Linked DNA regions of Drosophila melanogaster. The protein of the gene in region 2 interacts with the protein of the main gene of each other region in a pairwise test. Each region holds a gene or a part of one and is shown on either strand. Other genes may lie near its edges.

Evidence for each region.
Region 1: the proteins of Apc2 (region 2) and Axn interact in a two-hybrid assay, tested with the Drosophila melanogaster proteins (3 studies listed by BioGRID, with this or other methods).
Region 3: the proteins of Apc2 (region 2) and Tnks interact in a two-hybrid assay, tested with the Drosophila melanogaster proteins (one study listed by BioGRID).

Annotation. Positions count from the first base shown.
Region 1 is NT_033777.3:30,020,879-30,025,876, reverse strand, and holds the start of Axn (axin), read right to left. Parts: upstream 3,036-4,998; 5' UTR 2,037-3,035; intron 1,451-2,036; 5' UTR 1,255-1,450; intron 412-1,254; 5' UTR 338-411; intron 1-337. Other genes in the region: RpS28a (ribosomal protein S28a), read left to right, coding at 3,279-3,473.
Region 2 is NT_033777.3:24,162,217-24,168,813, reverse strand, and holds Apc2 (adenomatous polyposis coli 2), read right to left. Parts: upstream 4,849-6,597; 5' UTR 4,641-4,848; coding exon 4,005-4,640; intron 3,942-4,004; coding exon 1,728-3,941; intron 1,531-1,727; coding exon 1,177-1,530; 3' UTR 877-1,176; coding exon of another isoform or gene 670-876; 3' UTR 550-669; downstream 1-549. Other genes in the region: CG5510 (uncharacterized protein), read left to right, coding at 11-340, 670-876; mRpS24 (mitochondrial ribosomal protein S24), read left to right, coding at 5,329-5,346, 5,407-5,596, 5,654-5,943; TBC1d7 (TBC1 domain family member 7), read right to left, coding at 5,988-6,074, 6,131-6,362, 6,423-6,597.
Region 3 is NT_033777.3:25,658,252-25,663,022, forward strand, and holds the start of Tnks (tankyrase), read right to left. Parts: upstream 3,036-4,771; 5' UTR 2,537-3,035; coding exon 2,341-2,536; intron 24-2,340; exon of another isoform or gene 1-23. Other genes in the region: RASSF8 (Ras association domain family member 8), read left to right, coding at 4,164-4,235, 4,383-4,756. UniProt on the Drosophila melanogaster protein: Stimulates proteasome activity, probably by ADP-ribosylation of PI31. Modulates 26S proteasome assembly.

The sequences.
Region 1 (4,998 bases), 5.9 Mb from region 2:
TGTTGCTCCTCTCCGAGACAACGGAAACTTATTCAATTCCTTAATCAGAGTGCTGCAGCCCAATAAACAATAGTGAAATCATGGTATCCTTATTGCACTAAGAGGATTTTTCAATTGAGTGAAAAGGTAGTTTCCGAATAATAACCAATTAAAAAGGATTTATTAAAACCCTTCAGGATGTCATGATTATTAGGTTTCGAGAAATGGAAAAGGACCTAAGTATATCAATGTAAATCAGTTTTTCATACTAGTTTATATTTCTGAGATTCTCGCATGCAATCGTAGTTGTCTTAAACTTCAAAACCATTGACAAAGTAAAAATAAGTTGTATACTCACATATGTAATTTGCATAAAAAATTCAACATGAAATCAGGGGAAGATATTGGTATTCCGAATGGTTCCAGTTGTTCCTGAAAGAATAGTGAAATGAAGAAAAGATTAGATCAATTGAAATCATTTTGAAATAAGCTAAGACAATATATAATACTAAAATATTTGTTCGAAAGACTAAGGTTGTAAACATATAGTTAAGAGTTTGGAAAAAAAAAAGATTAGAGCCATTGTTATCCATTTGGTATAAATTTATGTTATATGTTAAAGTTAAAGTTTTATCTGAAGACTAATGTTTCTAGCCTTACCAAGCATTATGGGATAGTTAAAAAAATTATGAACACTTTTACTCTGTTTTAAATATACATATATATAAATAAATGTATATAAAATATGTATATATAATAGGCAAGCTTTATACATAAGGATATTATCAATTATCAATTGGGAGAAAAGAGATTTGGCCATTGGGTATATTTTTGTTCGCCAAGAAAGTAAGTCCAAAACAATGAAAATAATTTTAAGAAAAATCTTTAGTCTCGTGCATCTCATAAATAATCATTCAAACCAAAACATAATACAAATACCATAAATAAATTAAACAAAAAAACTTTTTTATATGCCAGTCATAAATATTGCATCAAAGATAAAATTGGAAGGTATTTTAATAGAGATAAAATTGTATAAATATTATTTTTGGCTCAGCTTAAATAAATTTACATTTCAGAGCCCAAATCGAATTAGTTTTCAACACAGCGAACTTTAAATCAATCAGTAGCAACCACCCAAGTGCCTCCTTTTTTTCAATAAGCCATACATATTGGATTTGTGGGGGAGAAAATATTTCGCGCACGGGTGCATCCAATAAACGCCTAAATAAATCTAAAGAATGCTTTGAATATAAAGGGTGATAGAACACTAACCGATTAAACTCAAGTGAGAAATGGCCAACGCTTGAGAACATATCAATCCATAGCGCTGCAAGTCCTTTAAGATGGTTGAATCTTTTTATGTCCGGTTTGTAGAAATGTTTAACTACACGCTTCACTTAATTACTCTTATTCGCATAAATTCCTATTTACGTAGCTTATATTACAGTTGATGCAGTACATTCAGTACCTGAAAGAAGAGGATGTGTAAATTGTTAAATAGGTAACATTGTATATTATGGATATGAATGCAGGATGATAATATAATTATGTTTTACTGTTTTGTTAATTAATTGATTTGTTAATGAAGTTAAAAGATATATACAGTTTCTATGGGATCCCATTGGCACATACACCTCAGAAATAAATTAAATGTGCTGCAAACTAATTAATTGAGCAATATTTTAGTTGGATGATTAGAATTTGCATGGCGTTCTAAATGACTTTTTCAATGATCAGGTATCATCCTTCGATTTAATGAAATATACATTTCATAAAGTTACTATTATTGCAAAATATATGCTCACATTTCTTACAAAGGATCATTCAAATTACTATTAATATTTGAGATATTAGTTAGACGTGAATAAATTGTCTAATTCCAATCATTTCCCTTGATACAACTAGATCATTAATCAGACTTATGTTGTGCCTTTCTTAAAGTATTAATATTAGTCCTTAAGTAAGTTGTGCAAATCCAATAATCCACAAACTGCGTAAGAAAGTAATAGCATTAGTTATGGATTGTGCATGGGAATTCCAAGAGCAGTACTCACCCTTAGATTCGTGTATCCTCGGCTTCACTCAATTGGGATGGCAGACGACTGATCCTGGCGCAGTCCTGACGGCCCTGGCTCCAATCTTCGATGGCGGTGACGATGGCAATGGCGATGACGAGGTGGGTTTGGACGGGTGTAATTTGATTGTAGCTTTAACGGCTGGACGCTTCGATTTCAATTGCAACTTAGCTTTCAATTTCGATTTCAATTTCAACTTCAATTTCGATATCGACGAGGATGCTTTCATTTTGATTAGTGTGCTCAACGAGAGGGACGCGTGACTAACAATTAATGGAAGGACGATTTGTGGAGTTCAACAAACAAGCAAACGTAAACAAGAGAGTGTGGTTAACAAGGCGCTGGCACGATGACCGGACTAAATGCTAAACAAGGCTGCAGATCCTCTCCTCGCGCACGGATCCCGATCCTCTCCTCTGCTCTCCTCAACTCAAGTGGGCTGGCCCGAGGGCATATCCTATCCTATCCTATCCCGGTGTCTGAGCTGCCTGCTGTAAACAATGGCTGTATGTCTCTTAACTTAATGCTTCGCCAGGAGCAGTCATCCTCGTCCGCTGGCAACTTTGGGCTCTCCGCGGGGAGAAAATCGTGCTGAAGCGCCGCCCTCTAGAGCATTTCGGCGTCTCCGGGCTCCTGCACTGTGAGAAATCTGTGCTCGGTGGCCTTTCCACTCAGTTCTGCACCATTTGTGCACTTTTCCGTCTGCTGCTTCTTTATTTTGTGTATTTTGTTGCTGTTGCCTCCGCTGGTTGTGGGTGCTGCTGCTGTTGCCGTTCGATTTTCATGGACGTATCGCTGCGGGCCGCTGTGCGCCGAGTCTCCGGAACGCGCACACTCTTTTAGGGCTCCGTGGCGCCGCTTATTCAGTGGTAAATAATAGATTTATTGAATGGCAAAACAAAATGTAGTTCGACACAAATGTTAGACGGCGAGACGAACGATTACATGCTAGAGTTGCGTGGTTCGAAATCGAACTGGTTCGATAGCTCGCCTCGGGGATGCCAACTGGATTGCCAACACTGCGAAAGGTGGCAGCTCGACTTGGGGTCACCTTGTGGTTCGCGTCCGCACTTATGTTGCGCTACAAGGCCTACAGGTGGCGCCAGGGATGATAGAAGGGTAGATAGGTTTTCTATTTTCATCGACTGGAAAGGCAGCAGCACTCACAGCTTCAAATTCAAATCTTTTATTGTCGAACAATTCTCGAATTTCGTATTCAGCATGGACAAGCCTCAGTACGCTCGCGTGGTCGAGATCCTTGGACGCACTGGATCCCAAGGGCAGTGCACCCAGGTGCGGGTGGAGTTCCTCGGCGACCAAAGCCGCCAGATTATTCGGAATGTCAAAGGACCTGTTCGCGTGGGCGACATCCTGTCGCTGCTGGAAACTGAACGCGAGGCCAGGAGACTGCGCTGATGTATGAATTACACCTGTTTGATTTCCCAAATCAAGTTAATAAACGATTTTGTTTGTTCAATTTTTAAATCCCAAACTATCGATTTCCTATCGCTAAGCTATCGATTCTTGCCATCGCAGCCCTAACAGCTGTTTGTGTTGATTCCGATTCCGCGAGACACTCGGATACAGATACTCACGCTCAGATACTCAGTTACTCAGCTACTCAGATACTCGTTCGCAGCGGACGGCCGAGCTGAGATACTCGATCGCGAGCTTGTTGTTGCCCCAGCCAGGCGAAAGTGAAAACGGAACGCCCAGATGAACGCCGAATAAATCAAGCGAAGTAGCAACAAATGCGGGAAATGTGAAAATGCGCGCGGCAGTGGGTTGAAGCGAGACGGGTAGAGCTAGAGAGATGCCCGTTTGCCCGCTGTGCGTGTGTGTGTGTGCAGCGGCGGCCGTAGCAGCTGCTGGTATGTGTGTGTACCGCAAGTGCAGGAGCCTGCATTGCAAAAACAAAAGCGAGTGCGAAAAGAACAGCAAACAGGATTAAAAGTGACGGATTCGATTCCCCGGGGAATCCTACCAATTAGTGCAAATTCCGAAATGCACGGAAAAGCGAACGAAAGCTGCGAATTCGTTACACTGCTGCACTTGGACTTTTCGGGGCGCTCTGAAAAATCGATTGACCGCAAGGAAAGTGGCGACCGCGAAATAATGCAGGCATTGGGCTCCTTCGAGGCAGCTGCACTGCGCGAAAAGTCCAGCAAAGGTGAGTGCGGACAGCTAGGGCAATTAAAGCAACAAAAGGCCAAAGATTGTCGTTAAATTCGATCCATAAAAAGTGGGCGAAAAAACAATGCAAAGCGTACGGCGCATTTGCCTGAGTTTTCGTGTTTGTTTGTTTTGGTTTTTTGCCTTCGCTTTCGGCACGTCAATTTTCGCCACTTATTTCGTAACAACTAAACCGAAAATACCTGTTCGTTCCACGCCCCCTGCCACCGCCCACCTCCCACCGCCCCCCGACACACCCAAAAAAAAAGTGCTTGCATTTGCGAATAGAGGTGGTTCCTACACCGGAAGAAATTACTGCCTGCGATTTAATGTTATTATTCTAATTAAAAAGCCTATGCATTATGAATATTTCATTCATAAATAAATCAAAGTCAATGAACTTTTATCTGTTGCTGCAAGCGCTCATTTATTCATAGAAACTAGCTTAAATGGTGAATATTTCATTCGGTTTTCCAACTTCAAAATCACTTTCTAAGTGGTATTCGAAACTCCGCACAGTGTACTGCTATTCCTAGACCTTTCATTGCCTGAATTTCAAAGTCGCGTTCAGTCGTCAGTCAATTGGCCCACTTACAATTTATTAATAAAGGGACCGGGTCATTAATGTTCATTGATTTTCCGCACTTAAGTGCGTCAGATTGACGTTACCAGGAAACATGGTAATTAGTGGCCCCTGGCACAAAGGGGCGTGATTAGCTATTCCGCCGGAGTGAGAGTCCTGAGATCGGGAACTCCACTCTTCCACTGG
Region 2 (6,597 bases):
ATATTTGTAGCACCAACATCCATATCTCAGCGCCATGGTGAACAATGGCAGCTGGAGCTACGACCACGATCGCGATGGAACGCACACTCAGCTGGCCGGCTGCGAAGTTCGTTTCCGCAATGTGGAGTACGAGACGCTGGTTAGCATTCGATACGAAAACGACATTCTGTCGGTTTCCACAGATCTGGAGAACCGCAACGAATGGAAGAACTGCTTTGTAGTGGCCAACGTTGAGCTACCCACGGGCTACCACTTCGGCATGTCTGCGACGACGGGTGATCTGTCCGACAATCACGATATTCACAGTTTCAAGTTCTATGACCTGGACTTGAACGTAAATGTAAGTTCACTTTTGTTTGCCAAACTTCGGAAGCGAAGTAAGCATTACTCAGCTGTCTGCTATTTGGCTAACGCGATAAGGAGTGCAAGGAACCCAAAAGCGGACTTAAGTTTCAATAACTGCGTATACGTATAAAGAAAAAAGAGTGAACTTGTTTTTAATTGCTGCAACTTGTAATAATTAAGCAGCTGGCTTTAAACACATTGTTTGATGCCTAATCATGTTTATCTTTATAAGCCGTGTGTTATAATATTTATATCATATTACTGAAAACCAGTTTTACTTTCTTGTTGCAATAACCATCTTTTTACTTTCTTTCTTGTTCGCAGCACGATGAGATTATCCGGCGCTCCAATATCATACCGAATGCCAAGACATTCGAGCCCCCGCGCGAGCACAAAGAAGATCCCAAGCCGGGAATGTCCAACGCCAAGATCTTCTTCATCCTTCTCTTCGTGGTTGTCGTGGCGGCTGCAGTGGCCATCTTCGCCATCTCCTACTTCAAGGATCGCAACGCGCGAAAACGTTTCTACTGAGCTCTCTAGCTAGTTCATCACAGTAGCATCATGTTAGGAGTTACCCGGACCTCAGTTGATCGCAACTTTTATTTATATTTATACCGCGACTGTATCCCATTTCTTATCACCCTTTTTAGTTTCCTTAATTGTTTAGTGAGAGGGTAAACATAATATTACACGTGTTGGAGAGTTAAATTTAAGTGCAAATTTTTAATCTGAACTATAGGAAAATTGAGACCGTGAGAATATTATTGCGTAGACAAGATTAAAAGCCACTAAACAAATGCATGCGCTTCTCAATTAACCAACCATCCGCTTCTAGTGCTGACGCCCAGCCAACATGGACTCAATCTGGCGCACCTGGTTACTGACAAATCGATCCCGGGCACTGATCTCCTGGCGCTGCCCCGGCGGCTCACCCTCCGACTCCAAGGCGTCGTTGGACTTATGCATGCCGCTCAGAATGCACTGCTCAAATAGCGACTTGGACCGTGCATCATCGTCGTCGTCGTCTAGCGAGTCATCTGAGCTGTAGTTCGGCTTATCGCCATGCTCCACCTGCTTCTTTGACTGCCCATTTTCCCTGCATAGAGTGCTGGTACTAGCGTTCGCCAGGCTGGAGCTGGTACTGGCACCGCTGGGCTGAGGTCGACAACTTCCCGCAGCAATGGCCTATAAAAAGAGGGAACAACTTTAATATTTCTGATTTTAGCGAGAATTTTCTGACTGCATTTTAAATTTAACTTTTGTGAAATATCAACATTCCGATTGCTAAATCTACAAAGACACTTATTTTTGAGTGAGTCTCTCACAAAATGTTTATATGGTGAAATATATCAAGTGTTTTGAATGAAGTATCCTTTTCTCACCTGACTTAGAAGATTACAGTCGTCATCCGAGTCCATGGACAATGAGCTCAGTGAGTCGCTTTTCTTCGGCGGTAAGCGTGGCTCCGCATCTCCTTGAACGGCACTACGTCTGGGAGGAAGTTTGGGTGCCTGAGCCTCTTCTGCAGTCCTCATTGGCAGCTTCAGAACAGGCCCAGCCTTAGCAGAGCCAACAGTGAGATGGGATAGTCCCGAGATGACCGAAAACGTGCAGGGACTGTCCTCGACATAGTACTTGCTCATTTCATCCGACACTGGCAGATAACTGGGCAATGCATTGCCACCGCAGCGCATCTTAGAGATTGCATCTTCTGCCGGCATCCGAGTGTCCATTCCGGTAACATCAGCTCGCGGAGCAGGCACTGGCTGCGCTTCATTCGCATTTAGATCATTCGGGATGGACAAAATGGACAGATCACTATTGCTTGGCGCTTTGGAAAGCACGGCAGTAGTGTCCTCTGTGCAATAGCTGCGAGGAGCATCCCCATTGCCGTTGATGTCATTTCCACGCTGTCCTCGAATAGCGTTTGCATTAGAGTCGTCCATCATGCTCAGATTACTTAGACTGGTGGCGCAGGAGAAGGCAGCAGGCGTGTGCTCCACGTGGAATCTGTTCAACTTGTCCTCAAACACAGTACTGGGCTTCTGTTCAGGTGTGTCCAAGTTATTTTGAGTGGACACTTTTCTGTCCCTTCTCGGAGATTGAGGCATACTCTGGGTGGGTGAATCGGGCAGCTCTGAGGGGGAAATAACACCACTCTGCATCCGGCTGTATTCACTGATCACGGATCCATTGTCCTCGCAGGCAACCGTTTCGTCGTCGCCAACCAATGAGTCCATAGAGCTGCGACGCGAAAACATTAATGGAGTTTCTAGTGCGGAATCGATGTTTTGAGGCGTATTTCCGTCAACGTGCACCGGGAGAACCGCAGTTTTCGTTGGAGTTTTTGGCGGCATACATTTCTCCGGTTTCTCTGTGAGGCTGTTGAGCGAGTCGAAGCGACTGAAGCTGCCGGGAGTCCCTTCTTCACAGTAGTTTATTGGTCGCTCTGCCGTTTCCGTCTCCGTTTCGGTGGCAATTTTCTGCTTAGCTGCTGAAACCGCCACCAGGCCAGGACTATTGCGCAGCTCCGTGGCCGAGGAGGACTTTGTCAGTTGCAACTCCTTACTTCTAATCTCATTGGTCTCCGACTTCAGCTCCGGCTGTGCCGTCTGAGCGGATCGTCTCTCCTTATATCTAGCACTGAAATCCGTTGGCTGATCCAAGTCGATCTCAAAGGTCTTACTGCTATTGGGTTTGTGCTCCATGTACTTCATGGAGTAGTCAATGGGCTGCTCTTCAGTGGGTGTCACAATTTCGAAGGGATTCTTCGCTCCCTCCGACTTGGTTGAGTATTTAGTGGAATCGGATTTGCCCGAGTAAATGGACTCTCGGCTCTCACATTTTCTGTTCAGAAAGCCAGTTGTGCTGACTGTTGAGGGTCGCACTTTCTTAAGCGATCCCGTGGGATTTGAGCTTAGGCGCAGTGAGCTGAATCTCCGTGGCAGCGTACCTCCATGGCCAGCTTCCTTGTCTAGTGGCAGTGACCCACCATCTCCATTGGGCATAAGCTCCTGAGTGGCCCTGAAATTAACTAGGTTTTTCAAAGCCGAGGCACTGCCCTCCGCAATCATGGAGTTCTTGGAGCTGATTAGGGCCCGCAAGAGCGGGATGGCATTGTGGTCAATGAGGTATTGCTGGTCCTCGGGACAGCGCGCCGAGAGATTCCACAGAGTTCCGCAGGAGTTGCTTACCACGGTTAGGCTCTCCGATTTCAACTGTTGCAACAGAATGGCAAGGCAATTGTACCGTCTTAGGATTTGTCGGTACGGCTCACACACCGCAATATGGCTCGATACATTTCGAAGAATGCCGCCTGCATTTTCGATGATCTTAAGAGTTTTACTCGGACCCTCGTAGCTAAGCATTCCGACCAAAAATGCCAGTGCTCCGTCTACTGCACAAAACTCCGCCTTGTTGGTGCTGCAGTGCGCTGAGAGATTCCAAAGGGCTGAAAGTATGGCCTTGAGAGTGTTCTCGTTCTTGTTTTGCATGGCTGCTCGAGCCAAGGAGGTCACAGTACCCAGCTCGTTAAAGATAGTCTTCATGTGTTTGTCCGCGCGCCACGAAAGATTGCGAAGCACACCAGCAAGAACCTGATGAGATCAACGGTAATTAAATTACGATCTTTTTTTCTTAATCTCCAAGATTAAACTCACCTGTAGCAGTTCATCCGGAGCCGTGTTCAATTGAGCAATGACCACTTCCATGAACTGTCGCTGACCGCACAGATACGATTTGTTATGGACGTTCTCGTCTCCGAAGGTGAGATTCGTGAGGGCCATGAGGCCGTAGCTCCTGAGGGCGTTGCACTGTTCCCTACCGGCAGCCGGTCCATGGACCGCATGATCAAGGTGGACCAAATTGGGAATCGCCTTGAGGGCTCCCAGTTCGCACATAGTCTGGCGGTGCTCCTCGTCGAAACTGGCTTTCATCAGGAGCTTCATAGCCGCCAGCGGATGACGATCTTCATCATCTGCGATAGCCTCACCGCCGCTCTGCAACTGGGTGTGCAGAAAGTTACAGTAGTCGAGGATCTGGTCCAGCAGGCGCAGCATCTTCACCTCCCGCTGGCGCTCCTTCTCCTCCGGATTATTGTGGACGATGTTGTGCAGCGCCTGGCTGGCGTACTTTTTCGCCGTGGAGAGGCCTTCGTCGTTGGCGTGCAGAATCTGCACCAGAAGCTGGATACAGTCCGAGCTGCGCAGGGCGGTGCATGTTTCCGGATTTCGAGACAGTTCCAGGAAGTTGCGCGTCAGCTCCAGGCGAGTAGCGTCGCTCTCGTTCAGCGTCATTACTTTGAATGTATCCTCACCTATTAGTGCATTCGGATACCAGGGATTCTGGGAATAAACCTTTGCAGCTTTGCTTCTGGATGAGTCCTGTTGCACGGTCGCTTCAACAGGTAGTTCCTTCTGATCTGAGATCCTCGATCTTTGTTTGAGATGGCCTGCGTTTAAGCCATTTTCCAAGCGCGCAGGCTCAGCGCTCCAGTGCTACCGATTAAGCTAATTTATAGCTAGTTCTGCCCAAGTTCAATGATCAGTCAAAGTTCTTTCGAATAAAGGGATTAATACAAAGTTAACTCTATTTATTAAGGAAGCTCTCAAAATGTTGTTTATTTATATATTTTAAATAAGCGTGCAATAATTTTATTACATTACATTATTACATTTTCCCACCGACAACTGTTGACAACTCTGCCCCGCTTTAAAACAAAATAAAAATCGATTTTAATCAATGCAATAGAGATCCAAGTATTGCATTTAAGAACTAAAAAGGGCATTTACACAACTAAAAATTAATCTTTCTGTGTTTTTATTTAACTACTTCCTTCAATGTTGTTTTTTATTTTATAGAAAATATTTTCACTACACAATAATAATATCGAATACTTATCTATAAATTTGTCCATCTCTAGCGAACCGTTACGTCACGTCAATCAGCTGTTGCTGGACGCAAAATTGTTTCTGCCGCAAAATAATGAACTTCTTGAAAAAGGTGTGTTAAATAACAACAAACAGGACAAATTATATATTAAAATAACCTAATCTATTGCAGCTGTTGCCCCAGGTGGCGACCGAGGTGCAGCAGCTCAGCCGGTCAGGATTCCACACCAGCTCCGTGTGCTGTCGCGTGCAATCCGGGCGATACCGCATAACCACAAAGCGAAACAGGCCTCTTACCTACGAGATGGCCAATCCGCCGCATTTTATTGGCCACCGCAAATCGTGGAACTCATGGAACACGTGTAAGTTGTGAGAAAATTTTATTAAGGAAGCATTTTGATGGCCACCTTCTATCTTAGCAACAATGAAGGATGCCCTGCGTCCGTCCCAGACCGCCATAGAGGATGTGTTCATCCGCAAGTTTGTCACCGGCACATGGCATGCCCTCGTCTGCTCCGAGGTCATTATCAAGCGACAGCACAACACCATTAGGATCGCGGCCCTTATTCGGCAGGCGATTACACCGCGAAAAATGTACTTCCTTATTGGTTACACGGAGGAGCTGCTCTCCTATTGGATGCAGTGTCCAGTGACCTTGGAACTGCAAACGGTGGGCGATAAAAAGGACGTGGTCTTCAAATACATTTAGTTCATTCTGCTATATACATGTCCAATATAAAAGTGTAGATTTACTTAGTGCGTGTACTCGACTTCGCTGCTGTTGTTTTGTAGTGATTTGATGGCCTTGTTTACGATAATAACACCGTCAAGATCCTTTACCTAAGGCAAATTTTGGATAAGTTATGGCTTAGCAAATGGTTTCCTTATTTACTTACCGTTTCTATAAGTCTTTTGACGTCTGCTAAAGATGTTTGCTTTAGTATCGAGGACCTTATGTCCTTAACTAGTTCTACAAACAGGAAAACAACAATCTTCCGGGACCCTCCACAGACTTTGTCCCATATCTTGACCAAATGAGTTGTACAGATTATTCCAGCAAAGCAGGTTATATACCAGTTATCCAGTAGCGTTGAGTTGCCATCAAACAGGCCCAGAAGCTCCAGGTGACTATAAGGAGTAATCGAAGAAAATTGGTCAAATAACCCGACTAACCATATGCAAACTCACTTAAGCAAGGACAAATCTTCGCGCTTCAGTATATTCTGCGTTTGCTCCTTCAGCTTGACGCACTCCTTCTTCAGTTCGCGGGTGTACTTGTAGAATCCCTTTGCTATCCAGTAGGTTTCCACGTTGTCGTCGAATATCTGCAGCAACGTGCGCACAATCTCTATGAAGTGCATGT
Region 3 (4,771 bases), 1.5 Mb from region 2:
GGAAAGCCCTACAAATGAGCGAGAAGGTCTTGCCTTCGGGGATTTCAACCTTGTCCATGGCATACGAAAAGAAAGATATGTTTTCCGCATTTGCAGAACTGTTGCCCAAGGAAATCTCAAAAAAGTTTACATTAGCTTATGTTCAGTTGAAAGTAAACCTTACAATTAAATGATAAATAATCAAAATAAGTCGCATAATAATCAATATAAACGGATGACAGTTGTGATGATCCAACCGAGCCCCCGATTTATAAACATACTTTTGGCAACTTTTGCATTGTCAATGCCAGAAATCTGAGTCATCTTAATAGGGTACCGTAATTGGTCACACCAGAGATGATCAACATAAAATAAATGTTTATGATCGTACTTATTGCTACGTTTATAATGAACTGCAAAGAGAACCGGATCGAATTACAAATCTGGGCAAACAAAAGCTTGAGCCACCCACCAAAAAGTGGTTTGCGAAACGTTTGTGCCGTTCACTTTTCTGTGGGCAAACAATTACGAAAGTTTTGCATTAAAAATTAATAGAATGGAAAACTTAATTCCAACTGTTGCACTTGGAGCGTCAAAGCGCCAATTGCTCGCCACTTGGAAGTGTGATCCTTGGGACTGTGAACAATATATGAATAAAAACTGAGATATATGTATGCAATTTCAACTTGATTTGCAACTACCACCCCGAAGGTTAATTTGCACAACTTTTTGGCCAGCGATAAACGTATGTTTTAAGTATCTCGAATATGGCCAAGATATGGAGGGGAAGGTCTCTCCGGGTTTATCGACTATATTTACTATATATATGTACACACACACACATAAATGCCATGATAACGGGCCAATGTCAGAAAATCTGATAGTCGCAAAGAAGCGAAGTAAAGCGATTGCGTTTTACTATGTGTCACGATTGCGGGAAAGGAAGGAGGAAACGTGAGCTCCGTTTTGGTTTCCACCGCAACAGGTATTGTAAAACTTCGAGTGGCCAAAAATGTCATACATTCAACGAGGTGAAAAGCAGCCGCAATAAAATATATATAACTTAAACGCCACCCGACAATAACAGACCCCTCGAAGATCTCACTTTTTGTGCACAGAACGTGACAAAAAGACAGACGAACATAATAATGGAAAACCAGTTTATAGAAAGAAAGAAAGACCCACCGCCAGATAATAAAAAGTGCTCAAAACTTAAAAAAAAAAAGAAGTCACAAATGGCCAAAAGGCGAAATTGATATGCAAGGGGCGTCGAGTGAAACGGTTAGAAAAGCTTGATGGCATTTTTGGGGTATTGTTCGAAAGGGGTGAATGTGGATGGGGGATGGGGAAGGGAAAGACGTTTCTTTCCACTTTTGATTCGATGCTGCCGACTGACTAAATAAATCGCAATGCATAAAATGCTAACTAGGCCAAAGTCACAACAAAAGACGCGAAAATATTGAGCCAAAGACGTCAGCAGGATGGCGCATACAACGCAGCAGCCACAACAAGTCGCCCCACTGCCCACTGCCCCGCCCACCGCCCACTATCACTGTCACCCCCACAAAAACAGACACAATAGCAGTCGAAATAATAGTTAAAAAACATGCATGCTTGTATTACGAAGGATTAATCATTTGATCACTCACAGTTGAAAAATGTAAATAAAATAAATATGTTAGCACGAGTTATTTTGTTTACCCAATCTAATATTTAAAGGCCAAGCATCTAACTAAACCCTGCGAAACAGGTTAGCTATACAATCAGACCATATGTTGCAGACCTTTATCTATGGGATTCTACGTGTAAACAAACAAAGCTAATCAGATGATATATGTGTGTTAAACATTCAATTTCCAGTGCTGAGACAGTGAAAGCTCTCATTGAAATGGCTAATTATGCAGTGCTATTATCTCGACCGCAGCTGTATGAGTCTTTTTTGAAAATAGAAAATGCTTAAATGCAGCACGCACGCACACATGCAGCGGCAAAAGGGGCAGCACGGGGGATTCCCCTTTTGAGAGGGGGTCTTCCGGAAACAAGCCAAACATATAGAACACATAGAACGGTGGTGGAAGGAGAAGCAGAAGCAGAAGAGGAGGCAGAGCCAAAAGCAGAAGCGACATGGAAACTAGGTCAACTCTCGACGCCATTGGAGCAGGCGAGTGTCCGACCGAGAGCGACGACAATGACGCCCGTCACACCCAGGCGCAACTAGCTCAAGGCCAAATCCGCACTGCAGCGGGGGGTTTGGGCGAGTCCTTCAACCTTTCGTTGGGCGAATGGTGGGGTGGGCTGCCGTTTTTAGACCGTCCTTGGAAGGGATTTGGATGGGATCTAACCGCATCGCATCTCACTTACCCGCTGCGAAATGCAATGGTGTGGATTTGCGTCCCGCCGTATCCCTGGCGTTCACGGTCTGAGGCGTTATTAGCTTCTTCACCTTGGCGATCTCGCCCGTTTTGCAGGCCTCGAAGAGCTCCCTCAGCGGATCGTTGGCCATGACCGCATCGAGATTAACGCTCAAAATGGCCCGACTTCGGCTGCTGTTGGCCATTGTTGTGCTTGTTTGCTACGCTTTGGCACACACACGCCCCGAAAAAAATAGGCAACAAAAAACAAGCGCAATATTCAGTGGGCTTTCGGGTTTTCCACTCCCAGTCCAGTTCTCTCCTCCAGCAGTTGCTCTGCCCGTCCTACACAAGCCTCGCCGTTGTCCGTCGCTGGCTTGCCCGCATCCTGTATCCAGGTGTCCTGCCTATGCCGCAGGAGCAACAATTTGCCACTGGCTGCCACGCGACCAGCCCTCGTTTTTGCTTAATATTTAATGCACAATTGCAGACCCAAAATCAATAGGATTTCTTTGGTTCGACACAGCACGGTTGCAAGGATCGCGGTTGGCTACGATTCGTTTTTACTGAGACTGCGACCAACTCTGGGACTAGCTCCCTGGTACTTGGCCTCCAAAGCTCTGGGCACGGACGATTATTTCCGGATTAATTCACTGCTCCGCGAAATATTGCATTGTTTTGTGACCGAGTAAGAGTGACCGTTCGCGGGGTGGTCGAATATTCCAGGTTGAGTCAAGCGGTGTGACCAGGCGACGGGGCAAGCCATTCTGAAAAAATACTGAAGTCCTCGAATCACATAAGCTTTTCCATTAATTATATTTTTTAAATTTAATAGCTTATGTTCTCACAAGGTTTTACACAAATTTGTGCTTCAGTGTGCACTCACTATTTGGTGAAAAGCGAAAAGACGTTTGCATCTATATTGTGTTATAAGAAACAATTTTTTTTGTTAACCAAATAGACAATATTCAATTGGTGGTACAAAAATTAAGATCATCATTTTTATGAGCTTAAATTAGAATTCTTAAATTAGAAAAGGCCATGTAGGAATTTCAATTATCCTAATATAAGCACATAAGCCTATTACTAGGGAAAAAATCTCAAAAAAATTTTTTAAAATAATAGCAAGTACCTGTTACAACAACATGCAATCCCAATTGGCATTGCTATCGATAGCTTGAAAAACACCTGTTTGGCCATCCCTGGTTGGCTGTTGGTGCAATCGATTTTTGGCATCGACTGGATGCCCATGCCAACAACAATGTTTGCTTTTAAAATTTAGATTAAATCCGTTAAAAATCCGTGAAATCAAAACAAAAGCAGTGGAGCTGCTTCACAACAAGATTATCGTGCTTACTAGAAAGTGAAGAACCACGGAGTTACCGCGCCGGAAGTACAAAAGTAATCACCAAATCGGAAATCCGAAAAGTGAATCAGAATTTTTCTAGCTCACACACACACGCGCGCATACCCGCACGCCCAGCAAACACTCATGCAAGCGTATGGAACCAGTCGTGTTGTTGTTGTTGCTGTGAATAAGTGCAAGTGAAGAAGAAGCAGAAACTGTGATCGGAAAATTAAGCAAAAAAGAAAAACAGGCGAGGAAAAGTGGGGTTGGGGAAAAGCAGACGGAAAAGTGGAAAGGCGGAGTGCAGCTAACACGCTTCGCTGGCTGCGCGACAGCAGAACGCCAGTCAAGCGCCAAAAACCATTAGTAGAACCCCATTTCCAGCTGGAGCGGCACAAGAAAGCAATTTTCTGGTAGCAGAAACACCAAGAAACGAAAATAATTGGCCGATCTTTAGAGACTCGACTCGACGACAATTAGCCGGAATGGAGCTGAAAGTTTGGGTCGAGGGCATCCAGCGGATAGTTTGCGGCGTTACAGTGAACACCACATGTCAGGTATGTGAGCTACAGCAGAGGTCAAAATAATAGCACTATTATCTTGTTAAAGCATTTTACACTGCTGCAGTGCTGTTAATGTGACCCGAACTGTATGCGCTCTGTTTGCTAGTCAGTTTGCCCTAATTATCGTTTTATTTTCCACAGGATGTGGTTTTTGCTTTGGCCCATGCCACTGGAAAAGTGGGCAGATTCACTTTAATCGAAAGGTGGCGCAATAACGAACGCCACCTGGCCCCCAATGAGAATCCAATGAAGCTGCTGCTCAAATGGGGCGAGTATGCAAATGATGTGCAGTTTATATTACAACGTTCGGAAAACAAAACACAGCAGCAGCAGCAGCAACAACAACAGCAGCAGCAGAACAATAATAATAATAACAACTATGCTGTGATGACAACAACAAAAAAGCCGCTGGGGCCGAACAACAATAACAATAATAAGCCAGCGCCCACTTTGCTAAAGCAAAAGTCGAACGTCGAACTCAGCTACCGCACAAAGGAATTGAAAAAAAGTTTCGGGTGGGTGGTTTTTAT